Linked DNA regions of Schizosaccharomyces pombe. The gene in region 1 interacts genetically with each later gene. Each region holds a gene or a part of one and is shown in the gene's direction. Other genes may lie near its edges. The genes, in order: SPOM_SPAC5D6.04 and gcn20.

Region 1 (4,715 bases):
CTTGCTTTAAATAAAAAAAAAAAAAGTAAATAGATTTAATTGACAAAAAAATTGTTCCCCATTAATGATGCGTCAAATTTCCTTGCAAAATATCGCTTCAAAATTTTATATGACTGCAGTTACTTCCGTTTATTTTCAACAAGAAAGGAGTAATTAACAATACAGTAAGGATGCAGTGAAGTTAAAAAAAATAAATAAATAAAATAAAAATTGGAAAGAAATAATATAGAAACTGATTGATATTAGTTAAATTTTTTGTACTCACTAATAAAACCTCATGCTTTTCTTTTTTTTAATTTATATGATAAAAAATTTATTGATAATAACTCTCAAGACTAAGTGCTATGATTCTACTAACTACAGAGTTATTTCACTTCTTTTGGCTGATTTTGTTTGTCAAGCATTTCATTGATTAACGACATGAGAATTGTTAAAAAAATTTCACCATTTTTGTAATTAAATATTTACTACAAATGAAGAACTGAAGGTTTAACGTAAATTGTTACGTGACTGATAAAAAGAGGAACCTCTCAAAGGATTTTTAATACTTGGGAAGCAATTAATTAAGCATAACAATAGAACACTGTATTAATTTATCTACGGACTTCTGTATACATCTTTACATGCAAACACAATAAGCTCTTGATAAAAATAACCAGGAAAAACGGTGTTACATATTAAAATATTGCTACTGTATATAAAATCTCGTCCCTTTGAATCCAGTCTATACTTCTATAATGTTCAAACATGCTTTCAAACTTCCAACCTTCATTGAACCTGTCCACATCGCAAGGAACATGTGACCTGGTAAAGATGGCAAAAATTGTTGGGAGCAGTAGGTGCAAAAGTTAGAGCTTCGGCAGATGTTTCGAAAACAAACAGAAAATTGCAAGGAAGACATAAAGAAAACAAAACCAATAAAGCAGAAAATGTATAAAAACTAGCTATCTTCTGCTAAAACTCACATTTAAGTTACACAAAGTTGTGTACGATTGTTCTGCTATTTAACGCTTTAGCTATTTCACAACCGAACCTATGCGGTAATGAATGCAATCATGCACAAACCAATCTGATGTTTAGTACAGCTTCAACAAAAGTTTTTCGAGTTTGATCGAAAATTTAAGGACAATTAAATTTTTCTACAACAACAGAAAATAAAATGGTTTGACAGTGAATCCTCGACAATACTATCATTGGTATCAATTCCTTGCTATCCACAACTTATAATTATAGCGTTACGTTAAAATATTTTATATTATTTTTAACAAACACCATTATGTTACGAATAAAAAAGAAATTTCATAATGGAATACAAGTTGACTCAACGGATTCTATAATAAGTGTCAGGTAGGTATATCCCTTTTTTTTTCGACCATACTAAAATCAATCAACATTCATTTTTTATTTTGAGAAACTTGAAGGTGTTCGAAATTAATGTAATTTTTTTAATTGATCTGCCGTAAATATTAAAAATCCTAAAACAACGAAATCTAAGTCTGATTACGTTATAGAGATCATTTATGGATTGGCCGAATTCTTCTTTCATTTCTCCTTACAAGCATCTTATTTTTCCCTAATTTGTAAAGAAAGTATTTCATAAAGCCTCAATAATTGTTTCTGTGTATCTTTTTTTTACCTATCAGTTTCATGCGTCAGTTTGCCATTCTAAGTAACAATGTTTCTCCACGCGGTTTACTGACTTTGAGGCTTTGAATTTTTGTCGTTCTAACCTATACCTTGAAAACAAACAGGCCTTTCAGCTTAACCTACCCTTTTCATTCTGCTGTTTGCAGAGAAAAGACTTTGACGATTGAAAATTTCTGGCATTTGAATTGACTTTTGTTGGGAACATTTTGATCAATTTACTTTTAGAGTGATTACTCCTTATTCCTGTTTTTTGAGAAGCTTTTGTTGATAGACCGCATAATAATCTTATCCTATTATTTATAGGAAATACTTTTTTTTCTTGTTATACTTTAACCGGTTTCACTGTTGATCGACCTTATTGGTTTTTTCTTTTTTTTTTTGCTTTTCCTTGATTTGATTCCTGTTGTTGTGTGGAATTCGGTTTAACTAGTGAAAAAGTTTTCTTAAGGATTCAATCTTTTTATCCGTCATTTAGTGAAAAATTATGGGATTCTTTTCTTCTCTTGGCCAAATTAATGTTTGGAGCCTTCTAAGGCCCATTATCGAAAGTGACTTGGAAGTTATTGTGATCGCTTTGGGTGGTTATGTATTAGCTAAAAAAGGCTTTCTTCCTAGAGATGCTCAGAAGGTATGATTCATTTTACCCCCCGTTTTAAAGAAAAATGGAGCAGTGAAATAAAGAAATAAATTTTCAACTATTAAATTTCTTCTCTTCATTTATCTTTGCGTTCTCTAGTATTTTACTAACTTTACACAGGTAATATCCAGCCTGAACGTTTATTTCTTTACTCCTTGTCTAGTATTTGAAAAAGTTGGCAACGGTTTGAATTTGAAGATGCTGATTGATCTTTCTCTTTTACCCGTGTTTTATGTTATCATCTCCGCAGCGTAAGTATTTAAGTCATTCACTTTGCTAACTTTCAGTTCTATTCTGATATCATTTTTACTTGCAAAACTCTTCCGACTGACACCTCGCCAAAGGAATTTCGCCACTGCCTGCATAACGTTTCAAAACGTACGTACCTTACCTGCAAGAATATTGTTCGTTTGTTTTTGTTTACTAACTCTTTAGTCAAATTCCTTACCTTTGGCCTTGGTATCTTCTTTAGCTACTACTGTAAAGGATTTGCTATGGGACAAAATTCCCGATGATACACCTGATAAGGTTGCTTCACGCGGTATTATGTATTTGCTTATTTTCTCTCAGTTAGGTCAAGCTCTTCGTTGGTCCTATGGTTATCGTATTCTCCTTTCTCCGAATCAACCGGAGGACCCTCTACCTATCGGTAACCGTTCTTGGTCACATAGCGATGTTAATGAAGAAGAAATTCAGAATTTGTTGGCTTCTAGTGCAAATGTAGATGGGGTTCAAAATTCTGTTCAGGCAAATGAGGGCTCAACTGTTCAAACTGATTCTTCTGCGATTTCCAAAAATGACAACGTTCAAGTTGAAACCTCTAACGAAGAAGTTGGTGGGTTTGGAGCAGCCTCTTCGAAGATCTCGAAGTTTATTGTTTTACTGTTAGATTTCTTCAGCCCTCCTTTATACTCCTTATTTATCGCCTTATTTATTGCTGTTGTTCCTCCTCTGCAACGCTTTTTCTTCGAAGAAGGTTCGTTCGTTGAAGGTAGCATCACCAGTGGTATTCGAATGGCTGGTCAAGTTGCTGTTCCTATGATTTTGGTAGTTTTGGGAGCAAGTCTTGCTACTGATATTTCCAAAACTGAACCTACTCAAGAAGTCCGTAAAAATAACGATACTCGAGTAATTATTGTGTGTCTTCTTGGCCGTATGGTAGTTGTTCCTCTGGCATTATTACCCGCTTTCAGTTTACTCTCATACTTCAGTGAAATAAGTACTGTTGATGATCCTGTTTTTGTTGTTGTTATTTTCTTGCTTGTGGGAAGCCCAACCGCCATTCAATTAACACAAATCTGCCAACTGAATGGTGTATTTGAACGCGAGTGTGCCAAAGTTTTATGGTGGTCTTATGCCGTCTTTACTCCTCCTAATTCGTTGTTGCTAGCCTTTGCTAGTCTTTTAGTTGTGAAATGGACAAAATAAAGTTAAAATCGTTAACGTCTGATGATTTTTGTTTTACAATATCGTTTTCTGCGTATACTTTAACAATTGAGAGCACACGGAAAGTTTACTTATCACATTAATTTAACATAGTCAATTGGTCAAACGTAGTGACTCGATATTGATTAACCTGGCGGTCTTTTTCCATTTCGAAAAGCTCACATTTAATATGTTTTTATTGGTTTAACTGGTATTATTAATACCGCTAAATAGTTTTTTTTAATCTTTTATTGTTTTCTTTTTAAACTCTGTTTGCTCTTATACAATGCATAAGAAATCACTTTCCATTTTCAATTTCTATAATGTTTGGATATCATGTTCATAATGATTCGTTATTGAAGTGTTCAGCTTTGTTGGACCTCGATAGCAACTTAAGTTATATCGTCTTTCTAATATAAAGTTTATTTTATGCGGCGTTTACCACAACGTCCCAAAAATCAAATATGTTGGTATAAATATTAGTTGACCGAATTGTTTTACTATTATAGTTTGATTATTTAATCAAGAATCAAGTAACACGGCGCTCAATATTATTAAAGGAAATAAAGCAATAATAGTATCAATTCGAAGAAAATGTGAAAGAAATATTGGATCAATACTATGTTCCATAATGGCGATTCATAATGATTCTCATTCTTTCATCGTTAAGGTCGTTCGTTACATAGCTAACTACACCGCGTTGAAAACACTGCTCATTAGGCTTCCAACAGCAATTTTCCCTTACTACTGACATTGCATTGTATATTTTGTTCACTATTTCTACAACCATCAGTAGCTTAGCTTTAGTAGACGCTTAAGAGATAAAAGAAATCAATTTCGGTGAGGTGCGATGCTATGCAAGAACTGTATCTTTTAGGAGTAGTCCCCTCGAGGCGTTTTGAAGCAGTTGTAAATTCTTTATCAAAAACGTTGGATGGTCCGAAAACAATATTGGAGTTTTGGGTAGTTTACCGTCCTAAAGGTATGTCGTGAAAAATGCATATGT
Region 2 (17,308 bases), on another chromosome or scaffold:
ATTAGTGATCGATAATATTTCTATTTTATCGGTCGTTACCAAGTATAAGGACAAAAAGAACAACTTCCTTCCCCCTAAAGACTTTTACTTTATTAATTTACTTTTCAAATATATTTCGGGTTCGCTTACTTTTAATCGTGGTACTGTTTTAGCTGCTACTTCTAGCCAACCGCGTGTTTCTACCCCGTCATTGGATATAGCTCTTGGAGTAGCTCACAGAAATCCTTACAAATCTTCTGATGAGACTATATTAGATTCATTACAGTCCGTGCATATTCTTAACATGGAGCCTTACACTTTAGATGAGTCACGTCGCATGATGGAGTATTTGGTATCATCCAACGTTTGCCTTGAAAAGGTTGATAATTATTTGCAAAATCATGTCCTTAGTGGTGGTAATCCGCGAAAGTTTTTTGATGCTTGCACACGTCTAGCATGATTGAGATATTCAAAAATTTCTATCCACTACAACTCCTTTAACGCGGTTTTATTTTTCTATTTTCTATTCTCATGTTGTTCCAAATATGTATCATCTCGTATTAGGCTTTTTTCCGTTTTACTCCTGGAATCGTACCTTTTTCACTATTCCCCCTAATGAATAATCTAAATTAGTTTCGCTTATAATTGATAGTAGTAGAAAGATTGGTGATTCTACTCGTGTAATGTTATTAGTTTAAAGATACTTTGCAAAACATTTATTAGCTATCATTATATAAAAAAAATCCTATAATTATAAATATTAATCAATATTTGCGGTCACTATTTATTTAAAACGTTATGATCAGTAGGACACTTTGCATATATATAGTTATGCTTAATGGTTACTTGTAACTTGCATGACCGAACACCATACCCCCAAAAGCAGGATTCTTCGCTTTCTAGAGAATCAATATGTATACCTATGTACCTTAAATGATTATGTACAACTTGTTTTGAGAGGGTCGCCGGCAAGCTCGTATAGCAATATATGCGAACGCTTGAGAAGCGATGTACAAACGTCCTTTTCTATTTTTCTTCATTCGACTGTAGTCGGCTTCGACAGTAAGCCAGATGAAGGTGTTCAATTTTCTTCTCCAAAATGCTCACAGTCAGAGGTATATATATTTTTGTTTTGATTTTTTTCTATTCGGGATAGCTAATATATGGGCAGCTAATAGCGAATGTTGTAAAACAGATGTTCGATGAAAGTTTTGAGCGTCGAAGGAATCTACTGATGAAAGGGTTTTCCATGGTAAGGTATTCTAATTGTGAAATATTTACCTGCAATTACTGTTTCAAAGAGATTGTATTTAACCGATAAAGAATCATGAAGATTTTCGAGCCATGCATGTAAACGGAGTACAAAATGATCTCGTTTCTACTTTTCCTAATTACCTTATATCTATACTTGAGTCAAAAAATTGGCAACTTTTGTTAGAAATGTAAATACCGGTTAAGATGTTGCGCACTTTGAACAAGACTGACAAGTATAGTATCGGCAGTGATGCCATGCATTACTTATTATCCAAAGGAAGTATTTTTGAGGCTCTTCCAAATGACAATTACCTTCAGATTTCTGGCATACCACTTTTTAAAAATAATGTGTTTGAGGAAACTGTGTCAAAAAAAAGAAAGCGAACCATTGAAACATCCATTACTCAAAATAAAAGCGCCCGCAAAGAAGTTTCCTGGAATAGCATTTCAATTAGTAGGTTTAGCATTTTTTACAGGTCATCCTATAAGAAGTTTAAGCAAGGTAACTAATACTGTTATCCTTCATAACTAATTTTAGATCTATATTTTAACTTACACTCTATTTGTGATCGGAACACAGTACACATGTGGCTTCAATGGATTTTTCCAAGGCAATTTGGACTTATAAACGCATTTCAAGTGAAGCAATTGCACAAAGTGATTCCACTGGTATCACAGAGTACAGTTGTGCCCAAACGTCTCCTAAAGGTATACCCTTTAATTGAACAAACAGCAAAGCGACTCCATCGTATTTCTCTATCAAAAGTTTACAACCATTATTGCCCATATATTGACACCCACGATGATGAAAAAATCCTTAGTTATTCCTTAAAGCCGAACCAGGTGTTTGCGTTTCTTCGATCCATTCTTGTTCGAGTGTTTCCTAAATTAATCTGGGGTAACCAAAGGATATTTGAGATAATATTAAAAGGTATTGTATAAAATTTATTACCACTAACGATTTTACCAGACCTCGAAACTTTCTTGAAATTATCGAGATACGAGTCTTTTAGTTTACATTATTTAATGAGTAACATAAAGGTAATATGCCAAATTTTTTTACCATTAATTAACAATCAGATTTCAGAAATTGAATGGCTAGTCCTTGGAAAAAGGTCAAATGCGAAAATGTGCTTAAGTGATTTTGAGAAACGCAAGCAAATATTTGCGGAATTCATCTACTGGCTATACAATTCGTTTATAATACCTATTTTACAATCTTTTTTTTATATCACTGAATCAAGTGATTTACGAAATCGAACTGTTTATTTTAGAAAAGATATTTGGAAACTCTTGTGCCGACCCTTTATTACATCAATGAAAATGGAAGCGTTTGAAAAAATAAACGAGGTATTTTAAAGTATTTTTTGCAAAAAGCTAATATTTTCAGAACAATGTTAGGATGGATACTCAGAAAACTACTTTGCCTCCAGCAGTTATTCGTCTATTACCTAAGAAGAATACCTTTCGTCTCATTACGAATTTAAGAAAAAGATTCTTAATAAAGGTATTAATTTTTGGTCATCAATGTACTTTACTTCTAATCTATTATTAGCAGATGGGTTCAAACAAAAAAATGTTAGTCAGTACGAACCAAACTTTACGACCTGTGGCATCGATACTGAAACATTTAATCAATGAAGAAAGTAGTGGTATTCCATTTAACTTGGAGGTTTACATGAAGCTTCTTACTTTTAAGAAGGATCTTCTTAAGCACCGAATGTTTGGGTAATTATATAATGCGCGATTCCTCATTATTAATTTTGCAGGCGTAAGAAGTATTTTGTACGGATAGATATAAAATCCTGTTATGATCGAATAAAGCAAGATTTGATGTTTCGGATTGTTAAAAAGAAACTCAAGGATCCCGAATTTGTAATTCGAAAGTATGCAACCATACATGCAACAAGTGACCGAGCTACAAAAAACTTTGTTAGTGAGGCGTTTTCCTATTGTAAGTTTATTTTTTCATTGGAATTTTTTAACAAATTCTTTTTTAGTTGATATGGTGCCTTTTGAAAAAGTCGTGCAGTTACTTTCTATGAAAACATCAGATACTTTGTTTGTTGATTTTGTGGATTATTGGACCAAAAGTTCTTCTGAAATTTTTAAAATGCTCAAGGAACATCTCTCTGGACACATTGTTAAGGTATACCAATTGTTGAATTGTAATAACACTAATGAAACTAGATAGGAAATTCTCAATACCTTCAAAAAGTTGGTATCCCTCAGGGCTCAATTCTGTCATCTTTTTTGTGTCATTTCTATATGGAAGATTTGATTGATGAATACCTATCGTTTACGAAAAAGAAAGGATCAGTGTTGTTACGAGTAGTCGACGATTTCCTCTTTATAACAGTTAATAAAAAGGATGCAAAAAAATTTTTGAATTTATCTTTAAGAGGTGAGTTGCTGTCATTCCTAAGTTCTAACCGTTGAAGGATTTGAGAAACACAATTTTTCTACGAGCCTGGAGAAAACAGTAATAAACTTTGAAAATAGTAATGGGATAATAAACAATACTTTTTTTAATGAAAGCAAGAAAAGAATGCCATTCTTCGGTTTCTCTGTGAACATGAGGTCTCTTGATACATTGTTAGCATGTCCTAAAATTGATGAAGCCTTATTTAACTCTACATCTGTAGAGCTGACGAAACATATGGGGAAATCTTTTTTTTACAAAATTCTAAGGTATACTGTGTAACTGAATAATAGCTGACAAATAATCAGATCGAGCCTTGCATCCTTTGCACAAGTATTTATTGACATTACCCACAATTCAAAATTCAATTCTTGCTGCAATATATATAGGCTAGGATACTCTATGTGTATGAGAGCACAAGCATACTTAAAAAGGATGAAGGATATATTTATTCCCCAAAGAATGTTCATAACGGGTGAGTACTTATTTTAACTAGAAAAGTCATTAATTAACCTTAGATCTTTTGAATGTTATTGGAAGAAAAATTTGGAAAAAGTTGGCCGAAATATTAGGATATACGAGTAGGCGTTTCTTGTCCTCTGCAGAAGTCAAATGGTACGTGTCGGTCTCGAGACTTCAGCAATATTGACACATCAGGCTTTTTTGTCTTGGAATGAGAGATGGTTTGAAACCCTCTTTCAAATATCATCCATGCTTCGAACAGCTAATATACCAATTTCAGTCATTGACTGATCTTATCAAGCCGCTAAGACCAGTTTTGCGACAGGTGTTATTTTTACATAGAAGAATAGCTGATTAATGTCATTTTCAATTTATTATATACATCCTTTATTACTGGTGTCTTAAACAATATTATTACTAAGTATAGCTGACCCCCAAAGCAAGCATACTATAGGATTTCTAGTAAAGTAAAATTAATCTCGTTATTAGTTTTGATTGACTTGTCTTTATCCTTATACTTTTAAGAAAGATTGACAGTGGTTGCTGACTACTGCCCACATGCCCATTAAACGGGAGTGGTTAAACATTAAAAGTAATACATGAGGCTAATCTCCTTTCATTTAGAATAAGGAAAGTGGTTTTCTATAATGAATAATGCCCGCACTAATGCAAAAAGACGAAGATTATCTTCTAAACAAGGGGGATTAAGCATATCCGAAGGAAAAGAGAGTAATATACCCAGTGTTGTTGAAGAAAGCAAGGATAATTTGGAACAAGCTTCTGCAGATGACAGGCTAAATTTTGGTGACCGAATTTTGGTAAAAGCCCCAGGTTATCCATGGTGGCCGGCCTTGCTACTGAGACGAAAAGAAACTAAGGATAGTTTGAATACTAATAGCTCATTTAATGTCTTATATAAGGTTTTGTTTTTTCCTGACTTCAATTTTGCATGGGTGAAAAGAAATAGTGTTAAGCCATTATTGGATTCCGAAATAGCCAAATTTCTTGGTTCCTCAAAGCGGAAGTCTAAAGAACTTATTGAAGCTTATGAGGCTTCAAAAACTCCTCCTGATTTAAAGGAGGAATCTTCCACCGATGAGGAAATGGATAGCTTATCAGCTGCTGAGGAGAAGCCTAATTTTTTGCAAAAAAGAAAATATCATTGGGAGACATCTCTTGATGAATCAGATGCGGAGAGTATCTCCAGCGGATCCTTGATGTCAATAACTTCTATTTCTGAAATGTATGGTCCTACTGTCGCTTCGACTTCTCGTAGCTCTACGCAGTTAAGTGACCAAAGGTACCCACTTTCAAGTAATTTTGATCATAGGGGAGAAGCAAAAGGAAAAGGAAAGCAACCTTTAAAAAACCCGCAAGAGAGGGGCCGTATATCTCCTTCCTCACCTTTGAATGACCAGACGAAAGCACTAATGCAGCGACTACTTTTTTTTCGCCATAAGCTACAAAAAGCATTTCTTTCGCCGGATCATTTGATAGTTGAAGAAGATTTTTATAACGCCAGTAAATATCTAAACGCAATAAGTGATATCCCGTTCCTGAACTACGAATTGATTACTTCTACTAAATTGGCAAAGGTCCTGAAGAGAATTGCTTTTTTGGAGCATTTAGAGAATGACGAACTTTATGATATTAGGCAGAAATGTAAAAATTTGCTTTACAGTTGGGCTATGTTTCTTCCAAACGAACCATCGATAAAAGGCATGTAGTGTTTCTCAACGTCAATAGAAGCTGATTTCCTATTACACACGACACCCTTTTACTTATGCTTTGGAGTACCGGTATTGCATACCAGATCGGTGGGAAGCAAGTTGTTATCATGAATACTCTAAGTAAGATGCGAAGCGCTAGTTTGCCGGTTGTTTAAATTTAATGTTATCATCTAGATACAATTTTTACAGTGTATTTTAGCAGTTAAGTTTACGTTAAATTAGTATTTGTGGCTATTCACACAAGAAGGTAAAATTCACATTTCTTTGGCAATATACATTGTTCAGTTGATGGTTCCTTTTTTTTTTGAAAGCGGCCTACAAGATATATTTCTAATTCACGTGCCTTTAGAAAATTGCCTCTATTTGTCTATATATTAATTAACGAAAAATATCAAAAACTTTAAGCAGCAAAAATTAAGTACTACAATTTCATCCAATACGACTATACCTTTAGTATCTTCGTATTCTTTTTTTTTTGTCTCCTAAGTCAGTTTATCTGTCTTCACAATTTTTACGAAGCATTGGATTCTTCAAAAATCTATAAAACGCTACAAGGCTTTAGTGCGCTAATTTAATACGAAGATGTAGACTTCAAAAAAAATGTACGACAAAGAACAGTTACCATATGCATTGAGATTATAAGCTACATATACTAGTGAAATACACAAGAAAGGAATTTCATTTTCTACTCAGAGATTAGGATTCATTTTTACTAGTCAAAGAAAAGAATTACTCCTCTTCGGCTTCTTCACCTTCACCACCCTCTTGTTGAGAGCGGAGACGCTTTCTCTTGCAGCGACCAGGGCGACCACCACCATATGGAGAGGAAAGAGCAAAGTCGATATGCTTTTGGGCATCCAAACGGACAACGAAGGAAGGAACATTGACAATTTGCTTACCAACACGGATGTGACGTTGGAAGATCAACACACGTGCATGATGGATGGACTTAGCCAAACCAAGCTTAAAGACTTGAGTTTGCAAACGACGCTCCAAAAAGTCCTCGATACGGAGAGCCAACACATAATCAAGCTTCATACGGGACTCATCCAAAATGCCCAAACGAACAAGACGACGAATGATGGCATTTCCCTCGAAAAGACGCTTAGGATCCTTCTCGTCAAGGGTCAAAAGCTCACGAGCAGCACGACGGATTTTAGAAAGGGTAAGTGCTACACGCCAAATTTCATGCTTATTTCTCAAACCATATTCACCAGCAAGCTTGAGCTCGGCATCTAGACGGGCCGACTCGAAGGGACGACGAGGAACCTTGTAAGTCTTGGATTGCTTACGAGGAGCAGAAGGCATTGTTTGTTTGGTGCTTTGCGCAACCTACCTTTGCTATGTATTTTCAAGAAGGCACAACAGTGACGGCTTTTTGAGATACTGTAGTATTAGGTTAGGGTTTTGTCCCATCACCATCCCGTACCGATATCCTTACTACACACTATTCCTACTAACCCTCTAGCTTATATCCTTGTGAAGGAAAAGCAGAAGTTAGATTTGTAAATAGAAGGTGTTGTTTATTTTTTCTAAAATAGAAGATCACATATGTAAGGGATACACTGTATCTTGTGAGTGCGTATTAAACTCTATTTGAAGATATTAATTGCACAATCCTGTGAGTGTTGTGCTGTTACTGTCTCTTTTTTGGTTTTTCTCTGAAATTGATCATAATTATTGACGATTTTACTTTTTTTCGAGTTTCAAAATATAAAAAACAAGTTTTTTTTTAGTAGTTCATCTTACATGGGTGGTGAACTTCTGAATACTTTAGACTATACATACAATTTAGACGTACATATACGTACTTACATAAAGAAAGAGGATTTCGATTACTTCATTTGTTTAGATAAGTCGAAAAATCTATTTTTGCTAGAATATTGATCTTTATTTTCTTCTCTCATTTCTCTCTATTTTATTTCTGAAGGATTGATCAAAAAATGGGTTTACCAGTTCATAACCAGCCCCATAAAGCACACTCGGGCTCTCCCGCATCTACCTTTTCCGCTGCTCTGGTTTCTTCTGCCATTAGCAATGTTATTGGGTATCCTCTTGACTCGATTAAAGTTCGACAGCAAACTTACAATTTCCCAACCATTCGCTCTTGTTTCCAAAACGCTGTTAAAAACGAGGGATTAAAAGGTTTGTATCGTGGTCTTACTCTACCATTGATATCAGCCACTCTATCGAGGTCAGTATCATTTACGGTGTATGATTCCTTAAAACTTACATTTGCTCATGTGGATCCTACACTTCGGTATTTCATTTCCGGGCTTGGGACTGGTACTTTTATATCACTTTTTGCTTGTCCATTCGAGTATTCAAAGTTATATTCACAAATTGACATGCTTCTTCGCAAAACAAATATGGGCCGTCGGCAAGAGACAAATTCCAAGCTAAGTGTCAGACCTCCCTTGTCATCTTTCCAGAGCGCTTCTGACATTGTTCGGAGGTATGGATTTACTGCATTATGGAATGGGTATCGTTATCATCTAACCAGAGACGCTCTAGGATCGGCTTGTTATTTTACAATATACGAAACCTTTAAGAAAAATCTGATAGCGAATGATGTGAAGCCGCATTTTGCTTATGCCTTCTCTGGTGCTTTTTGCGGCGCTTTGTCTTGGATTTTGGTATTCCCGGTGGATACAGCCAAATCCATTGTACAAAGAAATACACTCTTATCAATTAAAACCCCTTTGTCTTCCATTCCTTGGTTATCGTTTACTATATATCGAGGTATAGGTATTTCATTGATGCGAAGCGCTCTTATAAATTCTTGCAATTTTACGCTTTTTGAATTATTTCGGGAAACTAAAGTATTAAGCAAATAGTTTTATTCTAGTTTTACGAAGTCTTTGTTGTCCATTGAGTCGATAACCCGTCGGAATGCATTTCTATACATATTTTAACTTGCATTCGACTTGCGGTTGAAGTTTAATCACATTTTAGAACTGGTTTTGTCGTATATATTTAAAGTCCCATGGAATACTTTTACAATTTTTTTGATGCTATTTATTTTTTATTAAAAGCATTTTTACCTTCAAAAACTCCCCTCTCATCACTTTTCATATCATGTGCTGCTGTTAGTTTGACAGTAATTCCACTGAACTTGTTATACATTTCACGAGTTAACCGTTTCAATCTGAAAGTATATTTTCTTTTCCTCTTTTCCCTGTTTTTTTTTGTTTTGTTTTGCTTTTTACGTCCTGTTTTGGTTAATCCAACTCTTTCAATATCTGTATGTACCTACGCTTTTTTTTCTTGTATAGTTGAATTTTGTTTTGTAGATTTTTGGTAGAGGTGTAAATTGGATGAAATTTTTGAGACTAATAGTCCTTCTATTTCAGCGATTGTTTATTTGGGCATTTAAAACTTTAGCTATTAGATTTAGTATGTTTAATGTACTTTCGGACAATGCTGGCTTTCTTACTCAATACATGCTACCTAAGTGAGTTACCACTACCATCCACATATATTGTGAAGGAAGAACAATGTCTCGAATTTTGGTACGTTATACATTGCTTTTTTTAAGAATTTAGGAGCTAATATATAGAAATCACTAAGTCGTAGTTATTCGACCACCTCCCCTCGTCTTTACGGTATGAAATGACATTTTGATTTTGATGAGATTACTAATGGCAATTTAGTCGATGTAGTACAGGGTTTATATATTTCTTCTTTAAGTATGTTATTATATTCTCTTAATTTACCAATTTCTTACACGTCGTGTCTTAGAATCATATAAGCCTAAAGCTGTCCCTTCCGAAACGGCAGCTGAAGTAAAGGAATGGTCCATGCCTAGCGCTCCTACTGCTCCAAAATACGATGTTGACTTTACTTCTGCTTTAAACTCTTACAAGTATGAGGGAGAAACCATTCCCACTAAGGCTGCTGGAGAAAGCAACAAATTTGACTTTCTTGAATCAGTATGTATCTCTTCCTTTACATTGCATCAGCTAACTTTTCCTTCAGTATGAGAATGAAAAAGAACATTAAATTTATTCACTGCTTTTCCTATGCTCAATTGGAAGATGTTTGGTAATTAACTTTGATTAAATTTTGCCTTTTATTTTCCGATTATGAATTTACATTTTCATCTACGTCGTTGAGATTTGATTTTATATCTATTTCATGCCTTTGTCTGATCCTTCTTTTGATTGACCACGAACGTGGATGTATCTCTATAACTCCCGTCTCACTATGATTTATATTCTAGGTTAACGTATCCTTTTTCTGCTTTCTAAATGTCTTTGAACATAGCTGAATTCAATGCTTAGTCGTCTCTTCGATTACGGCACGAAACAGTTGTTGCCTTGATTGATAGAAAACCACTTTCATTGAGTTGAGATGTTTTTCTCTTTGCAAAGTATTTCTATTGAGTTCACATTTGGATTTTTTTTTTCAATTTATATCAACTCAATACAATTGCTTTTATTCAACAATAAGGATTAGCTTGATAAAATTTGATGTCTACTGTGGGTCATTAAAAATATCAGTAAAGTTCACAGTAGTTTTCTTGGAATTGTAATTTTTTTTCTTAAAAAAATATATAATTCACTATTATAAGGTATTTAGTATATTTTCATGCCTAGTCTCATCGTTTTGCCGATTGAGGCTTCATATATAGCAGTAGTATAACTTGCTTAGTACTATCCACCTCACATCCAACATGGAGCAAGTCATTCAGAATAATTGCTCTGAAGTAGACCCTCATGTCCTCAGCTACTGCACTGGATATGCTAATGATGCTATTAAAGATGTAGATGAGGCTTCAGACCATACGATCTCTCTCATTCGTAATTTATTGCTAGATGCTGGCGCTCGTGAGGAAGCGGTACAGCTCATACAAAACGAACTAGAGAAACAATTTAAAGAAAGAGAGGAACATCTAGATACATTACAAACGAATGGACTTGTTCGTTTGAAGGAGACTATTCGAATGGATTCCCAATCCGAAATTTCGTCAACTATGGGTTTGGTTGGCGAAAAGATGGAATTAGATGCTGTAAAGGGCCGTAAGGTTGAATCTAGGGTAGATAGAAGAAAATTAGAGAAGGCTGAACGGAAGATTCGTGCCAAATGGGAGAAACGTACTATCAAAGCAGAATACGAATCTTCAAAGTTGGTTCAACCCGAACAAAAGTCTTATGAAGAGTTTTACATGGCTGTAAATCCTCTAGATTTATCCGGAAGTAACCAAGGAAAATCGAAAGATATTAAAATTGATGGAATTGATCTTGCTTTTGCTGGTCATCGTATATTGACTGGTGCTTCGTTGACACTTGCACAGGGTAGACGATACGGTTTAACTGGTCGCAACGGTATCGGTAAATCTACTCTTCTACGTGCTCTTTCTCGCCGTGAAATTGCGATTCCTACCCATATTACCATTCTTCATGTTGAGCAAGAAATGACAGGTGATGATACACCTGCCCTACAGTCAGTTTTGGATGCCGATGTTTGGCGCAAGTATTTGATTCAGGACCAGGAAAAGATAACTAATCGTCTATCAACGATTGAAAAAGAATTGGAAGAACTTAGTAAAGACCAAACTGCTGATCAAGCTATTTCCCGTCGCCTTGAGCGTGAACGAGACGAACTTGATTTACGGTTGTTAGATATTCAAAATAAGCTTTCCGAGATGGACTCTGATAGAGCAGAATCACGCGCTGCTACTATTTTAGCTGGTCTTGGATTTACTCAAGAAATGCAAAGCCATGCTACCAAGACTTTTTCAGGTGGTTGGCGTATGCGTTTGTCATTGGCACGTGCTCTGTTTTGTCAACCAGATTTACTACTTTTGGATGAACCTTCGAACATGCTTGACGTTCCCTCAATTGCTTTCTTATCTGAATATTTACAAACTTATAAAAATATCGTTTTAGTCGTTTCACACGATCGTTCTTTCTTGAATGAAGTTGCTACTGATATTATTCATCAACACTCTGAGCGCTTGGATTACTATAAGGGTAATTTTAGTCAATTCTATGCTACTCGTGAAGAACGTTGCAAAAATCAACTTCGTGAATATGAAAAGCAAATGGAATACCGCAAACATTTGCAATCATTCATTGACAAATTTCGTTATAATGCTGCCAAATCATCCGAAGCACAAAGTCGTATTAAGAAGTTGGAAAAACTGCCGATCCTTGAAAAGCCTCAAACTGAGGAAGAAGTTGAGTTTGAATTTCCACCTGTGGAAAAAATATCTCCTCCTATCTTACAAATGTCTGATGTCAATTTTGAGTATGTTCCAGGTCACCCTATTCTCAAACATGTTGATATTGATGTTCAAATGGATTCTCGTATCGGTGTGGTTGGTCCCAACGGTGCTGGTAAATCAACAATGCTTAAGCTTCTTATCGAACAACTTCATCCAACATCTGGTATAGTTAGTCGGCACCCCCGACTTCGTATTGCATACTTTGCACAACATCATGTCGATACTTTGGACTTAAACTTGAATGCCTTAAGCTTTTTAGCTAAGACATTTCCTGGCAAAGGTGAAGAAGAATACCGTCGTCATCTTGGCGCTTTTGGTGTTAGTGGACCTCTTGCATTGCAAAAAATGATCACGCTTTCTGGTGGTCAGAAATCTCGTGTTGCGTTCGCATGCCTAGGTCTACAAAACCCTCACATTCTTATTCTAGATGAACCCACCAACCATCTGGATATGGAGTCCATGGATGCCTTGACAAGAGCTGTTAAACGCTTCCAAGGTGGTGTGATTCTTGTTTCTCACGATGTTGATTTCTTGGACAAGACATGTACCAGTATTTGGCAGTGTGACCATAATGTCGTCTCCAAGTTTGATGGAACAATTTCACAATATAAGAAATTCTGTCTATCTCAACAGCCAACCATGACTATAAAAACTTAATGGAATAGCATAGACTTAAATAATAATAATATAGCTGGCGAGGATAAATAAAATCAAATTCTTTTATCTATGAATCTGGATAAAATATGTAAACGAAGTTAACTACATTTTATACAGTAAAAGACATGAAGTGTTAAATAAGATTAAAACAGTAAATTAATTATAGCTAAGTAAGTCATAACACGGTAATGGACAAGAAACCTGGAAAGCATGCAAATCATCAACCAACACCCAAAAAATAAAGAGAACAAACCCAATCAATTAAAAAGTAAAGAGGAGGAAGGGGAGAAGAGGAGAAAATAAGGCGGACCAAGGAAATCAATAGCAGAAAAAAAAAGAATATACAGACTAGTAAACAAAAAAAGAAAGAGAAAGGAAAAAGTTAACTCATTAAATTCGTTTAGGAACTTGACTAGAAAACCTCGAAGGATTTGGAAAAAAGGACATGGGAAAAGACGTAGGGCGAGAGATTGATGGAGAGGAGGAAGATGAAGGTTGAGTTTTGACGGCGTTGAACGATTTAAAATTCTGAGAGGTGAAAGACTTTGGAGGAAGAGGAATGGACGGATAGGTATTAGAGGTTAAAGGACGCTTTGTAGAAGTATTAGTAGCGTTAGAAGAAGAACGTCCAAGGGGATGCAATTGGGGAAAGCTCCGAGAGGATGAAGTAGCTGAAACAATATGACGGGTAGCAGAGCCTTTTTGAGAAAATCACTTTTAGCTCTCGCCATTAGAGAACTTTTTGGACAATAATTACTCATGGGACGCGGACGCTTAGGAGGCCGAGCAGCTCTAGGCTCACGCTCTAAAGGAACAATTCGCTTGTTTTGTTTACTTTGCTCTAGCTTGGTGTAAGCACTTCGAAGCTTAGCAGAAGCAACGTTATAATGAGCATTTCTTTTTTTCTTAAGTTTTCCGTAGAGCCCTCTCCAATCATCAATATTGTTCAATATAGTTCGTTTTTGAAGTTCTAATCCAAAATCACGCAAAACGTGATCTTTCCACAATGGTTGAGTGTCAACTTTCAAATGAGGCGACTTTTCTTCCAAGTCTATTAAATGTTCTGGTCTAGCTTTTTCCAGGATAGGTTTTACGAGTTCGAATGGGCAATCGCCAATATCATCGATGTCGTGCACATGCTTCTGCGCGACTTGGATGCACAAATCTTTTAAAGAATACATCGCTCATATGATAGTAATTTTTAAAAATTTCAAAGAAAACGATCGAATTAGAGCTCTATAGTCTTCAATTGGAAGAGTGCTTTTACCTTATTTGAATGTAAACAAAACCAATTCAACGGGGGAAAATGTGTTTCAAAGAAGGAAAGGTCCAGAATCTATCGATTAGCTAAATTCCTTTCCTTGTTAGTATATGCGTATAAAACGCGGAGAATCTAAGTGCGAGTAAAAAAAAATTCCAGATAATTGTTTGTTTCCGACAAGTTGAAAAAGACGGCGAAGCAAACCTATTTGTTCACTTATACAAATATATTAAAAAATAATTAAAATCTTTAATTTGTTAACTCGGTAAAATCGTTAAATTATCGCTAAATAAATTTATCGACCTTTATCAAATTTTCTTCATTCAATTTACGAGTTCTCAACCACCGTTTCGTTATAAATATTTGCGTATTCAACGTTAAAAACCGTAATTATCCTTCTTGCCTTTCCGGCCCAGTGGAAGTTCCAATGACGCCGCGGAAGGGCTGCACACCTCAGTAGCGAATATGGGGAAAGAGCAAATTCATGCTTGCCACGATGACTACCTGGATGCTTGATGTAGGTGACGTGTTACTTAAGATGAAAATGTAAATACAAGAGAAGAAATGGGTCAAGAAGGCGATTAATGGATGAAAAGAGAAATTATTCATAGAAAAATTTTTCCTTAAATATGCGCTTTTATTAATCTTTCGTTTAGGTTTTTTTCTCTCGTAAATTAATTCAGATATAGGTATTTAATCAACATTGCCAATTTCAACAAGTTTTAGGGGTTACGTGCAATAGTTTTATTGTTCTATTGTTTTTTAATTCTTCTCTCAATCCTAACTCTTGAAATTTTGTCGTACAAGACATTTTTCGCATTTCGTCAAGTTAAATTTTATGTTAAACTAGAGTTATTTGCGAATTAGGCTAATGAGCAGAAACCACTTGAATATACAAAATTTTATTTATTTATTTATTTATTTATTTTTTTTAAAAAAAGAGTAAATGGTAATTAATCTACTAGAAGCGTAAAAAGAATTGTTCAATACTTCAAAAAGAAAAATATGTATATCATATATCAAACCAGATTAGCAATCAATGCCAATAGCTTTATTCATTGAAAAAATAAAAAAAATAAAGAACGGTTATAGATGAGTCAATTAATTTCGTACTTTAACGTTAGTTGGTTTATTTCGTTTTTGTACAACATTATTTACTTTTTTAAATACTTAGTTCCTGCTTATCATAATGAATATAGCTAGCTTCATTAGTTAAAATTATTAGTATAGTTTTCGAAATTGTAAACGCTACTATAGTTTCTTTTTTCTGTAATTTCCTAAATTGCTTCAAAACAGCATTTGCAATGCAGCACATTCTCAATTAAGAGCAGTTGTAAGCAAAGAGCAATGAGAAATCTTTCAAATTAGATAAAATGAAGTACAGTAAGATCCACATATTCAACAAAGCTATCCTTTCCCTTTAGTGTCTCTGTTGCTATCACTTATATACGAAAGCATGGCATTGGAAGCGTAAAATGAATCATTAATTTTGCAGATGTAGTTTTCTGGGATCAGGAAATAAAAAATTTAAGAAATTTCAAAAGAACTTGAGAAGAAATTGATGAACTAGTTGGTCTGTAGGCAAAAGATCAATGATACCAAATTGTTTCCTTGATAAAAGTCCCATTGCCAAACAAGAGTATAAGTTAAAAGAAAGTAAAGAAATAAGGAAAAATATAAATTGATGATACAACTATACTATCAAACTATTCTTTGCAATTGTCAGTTTTAAAGTTGAAACCTATTTCCTGTAGGATAGACAAACGAGGAAGCAAAAAATACCAATAAAAATGTTTATGATTTTCAACTAGTTATGTATAATTTGAAAATCACTTTAAATTGACTCTCTATTGAAATCACCGCCATGTCAGTTTCAACTCTGATCAAAGATCTCATGAACTAAGGATTGCATTTGACATTTGGAGTTACCAGGTAAAAGAAGAGGAAAATTTTGGTAAAAGGTTGAACCGTTTTGTCTACGATCTGTTGGTCCATTCGATTTCCCAGCATATACCTCTTCTTGTCCAAACCACGAAACGTAACCTTTAATATTCATGTCTCAATCTTTTCTACTATAATTAAACTCACGTATAGGATTGACTATACAACATCAATCTCCAAGCTGTGATAACGAGTATTTTCCATCTGATCCCAACCAACCTTTTAGGAATATTTATCCTTTCCAAAGCAAACCAAATCATTTCTTTTCGAAATTTGATTTTTTTAACAAAAAGTGTTAAGATCGTAAAAATAACAAATGCCTCCATCTACAGTTAATCAAGAAGTCAATTCTATCCTATTCATCAAGAACTTGTCTTTTAAAATTACAGCAGAAGAGATGTACGATCTTTTTGGTAGGTATGGTCCTGTACGACAAATAAGGCTGGGGAATACGGTTCAAACAAGAGGTACTGCATTTGTGGTTTATGAAAACGTTCAAGACGCTCGTCGAGCTTGCGAAAAGCTTTCTGGCTACAACTTCATGGATAGATACTTGGTTGGTACGTTATCTTAGGGAATGTATTAGCTACTATTAATTTTAATTTCTCCTTTCTAACGGCTTTTTAATATCTTCTTGTTAACTTTTTTTTTAGTGCATTATTATAACCCTGAAAGAGCTAAGGTTGATGGTCAAGATTTGGCAGCAAGGTATGCCGCCTTGGAACAAGTTAAGCAAAAATACGGTGTTCAGTGAACGTTTACTATTTATTTACCAAAAAAAAACAAACAAATTAGGAGTCTGATATTGACTCCATTAACGTGTAATAGATTTCCTCTTTCTATAAATTCTGTTGAAGAGAACATACAGCAGAAAAATGAATCGGCTCATATTAAACAATCGTTTACTAGTGTTTCGAACCTAGGTATAAAAAAGGTACTATAAGGACTTGAATTTTATTATATTTCGCTTAAAGCTTTTTAGTAATAATAATGTAATGCATTGATCTATAATATAACAACGTCTACATGTAGTATTAAGATTTGAATCCCTAATAAAACGTATCCAAATTTGCCCAACCGTATTTCCCAATTAATAATTTTATCTGGCACAAACTTCAAATCATAATGAGCTAGTTTCCAAAGTCCAACCCTTCCAGCTTCATTACCAACACATAACTCACCACCCTTACCAAAAGCTAGGCATGTAACTCTGCCTAAAGGCGTAGCGCTGGTGGGCCAATTACGGAACACACTAAAGCTGGGAACATGAACGAGTCGTAGAGTATCCTTCTTTCCTCGAGATGCGATAGCTAAAACTTGACTATCTTGAGAAAAGCTCATACTATTTATGCTGAAAGTAATATTATCCAATG

The links.
Region 2: mutations in SPOM_SPAC5D6.04 (region 1) and gcn20 together harm fitness more than expected from each alone (negative genetic interaction), as found in Schizosaccharomyces pombe (one large-scale study listed by BioGRID).

The regions. Positions count from the first base shown.
Region 1 is NC_003424.3:1,504,588-1,509,302, reverse strand, and holds SPOM_SPAC5D6.04 (auxin family transmembrane transporter), read left to right. Parts: upstream 1-1,727; 5' UTR 1,728-2,131; coding exon 2,132-2,275; exon of another isoform or gene 2,276-2,404; coding exon 2,405-2,535; exon of another isoform or gene 2,536-2,571; coding exon 2,572-2,662; exon of another isoform or gene 2,663-2,719; coding exon 2,720-3,712; 3' UTR 3,713-4,215; downstream 4,216-4,715. Other genes in the region: mediator complex subunit Med18, read left to right, coding at 4,565-4,691.
Region 2 is NC_003423.3:2,049,639-2,066,946, reverse strand, and holds gcn20 (AAA family ATPase Gcn20), read left to right. Parts: upstream 1-10,504; 5' UTR 10,505-10,522; coding exon 10,523-12,733; 3' UTR 12,734-12,806; downstream 12,807-17,308. Other genes in the region: rsm23 (mitochondrial 37S ribosomal protein mS29), read left to right, coding at 1-439; telomerase reverse transcriptase 1 protein Trt1, read left to right, coding at 837-1,094, 1,151-1,231, 1,303-1,421, 1,473-1,735, 1,772-2,164, 2,204-2,274, 2,314-2,583, 2,624-2,740 and 8 more; PWWP domain protein Pdp1, read left to right, coding at 4,765-5,844; rps902 (40S ribosomal protein uS4), read right to left, coding at 6,577-7,155; ort1 (carboxylic acid transporter), read left to right, coding at 7,791-8,684; atp14 (F1-ATPase subunit H), read left to right, coding at 9,345-9,359, 9,407-9,452, 9,501-9,536, 9,589-9,779, 9,826-9,849; sap14 (Pre-mRNA branch site p14-like protein), read left to right, coding at 16,252-16,495, 16,589-16,689.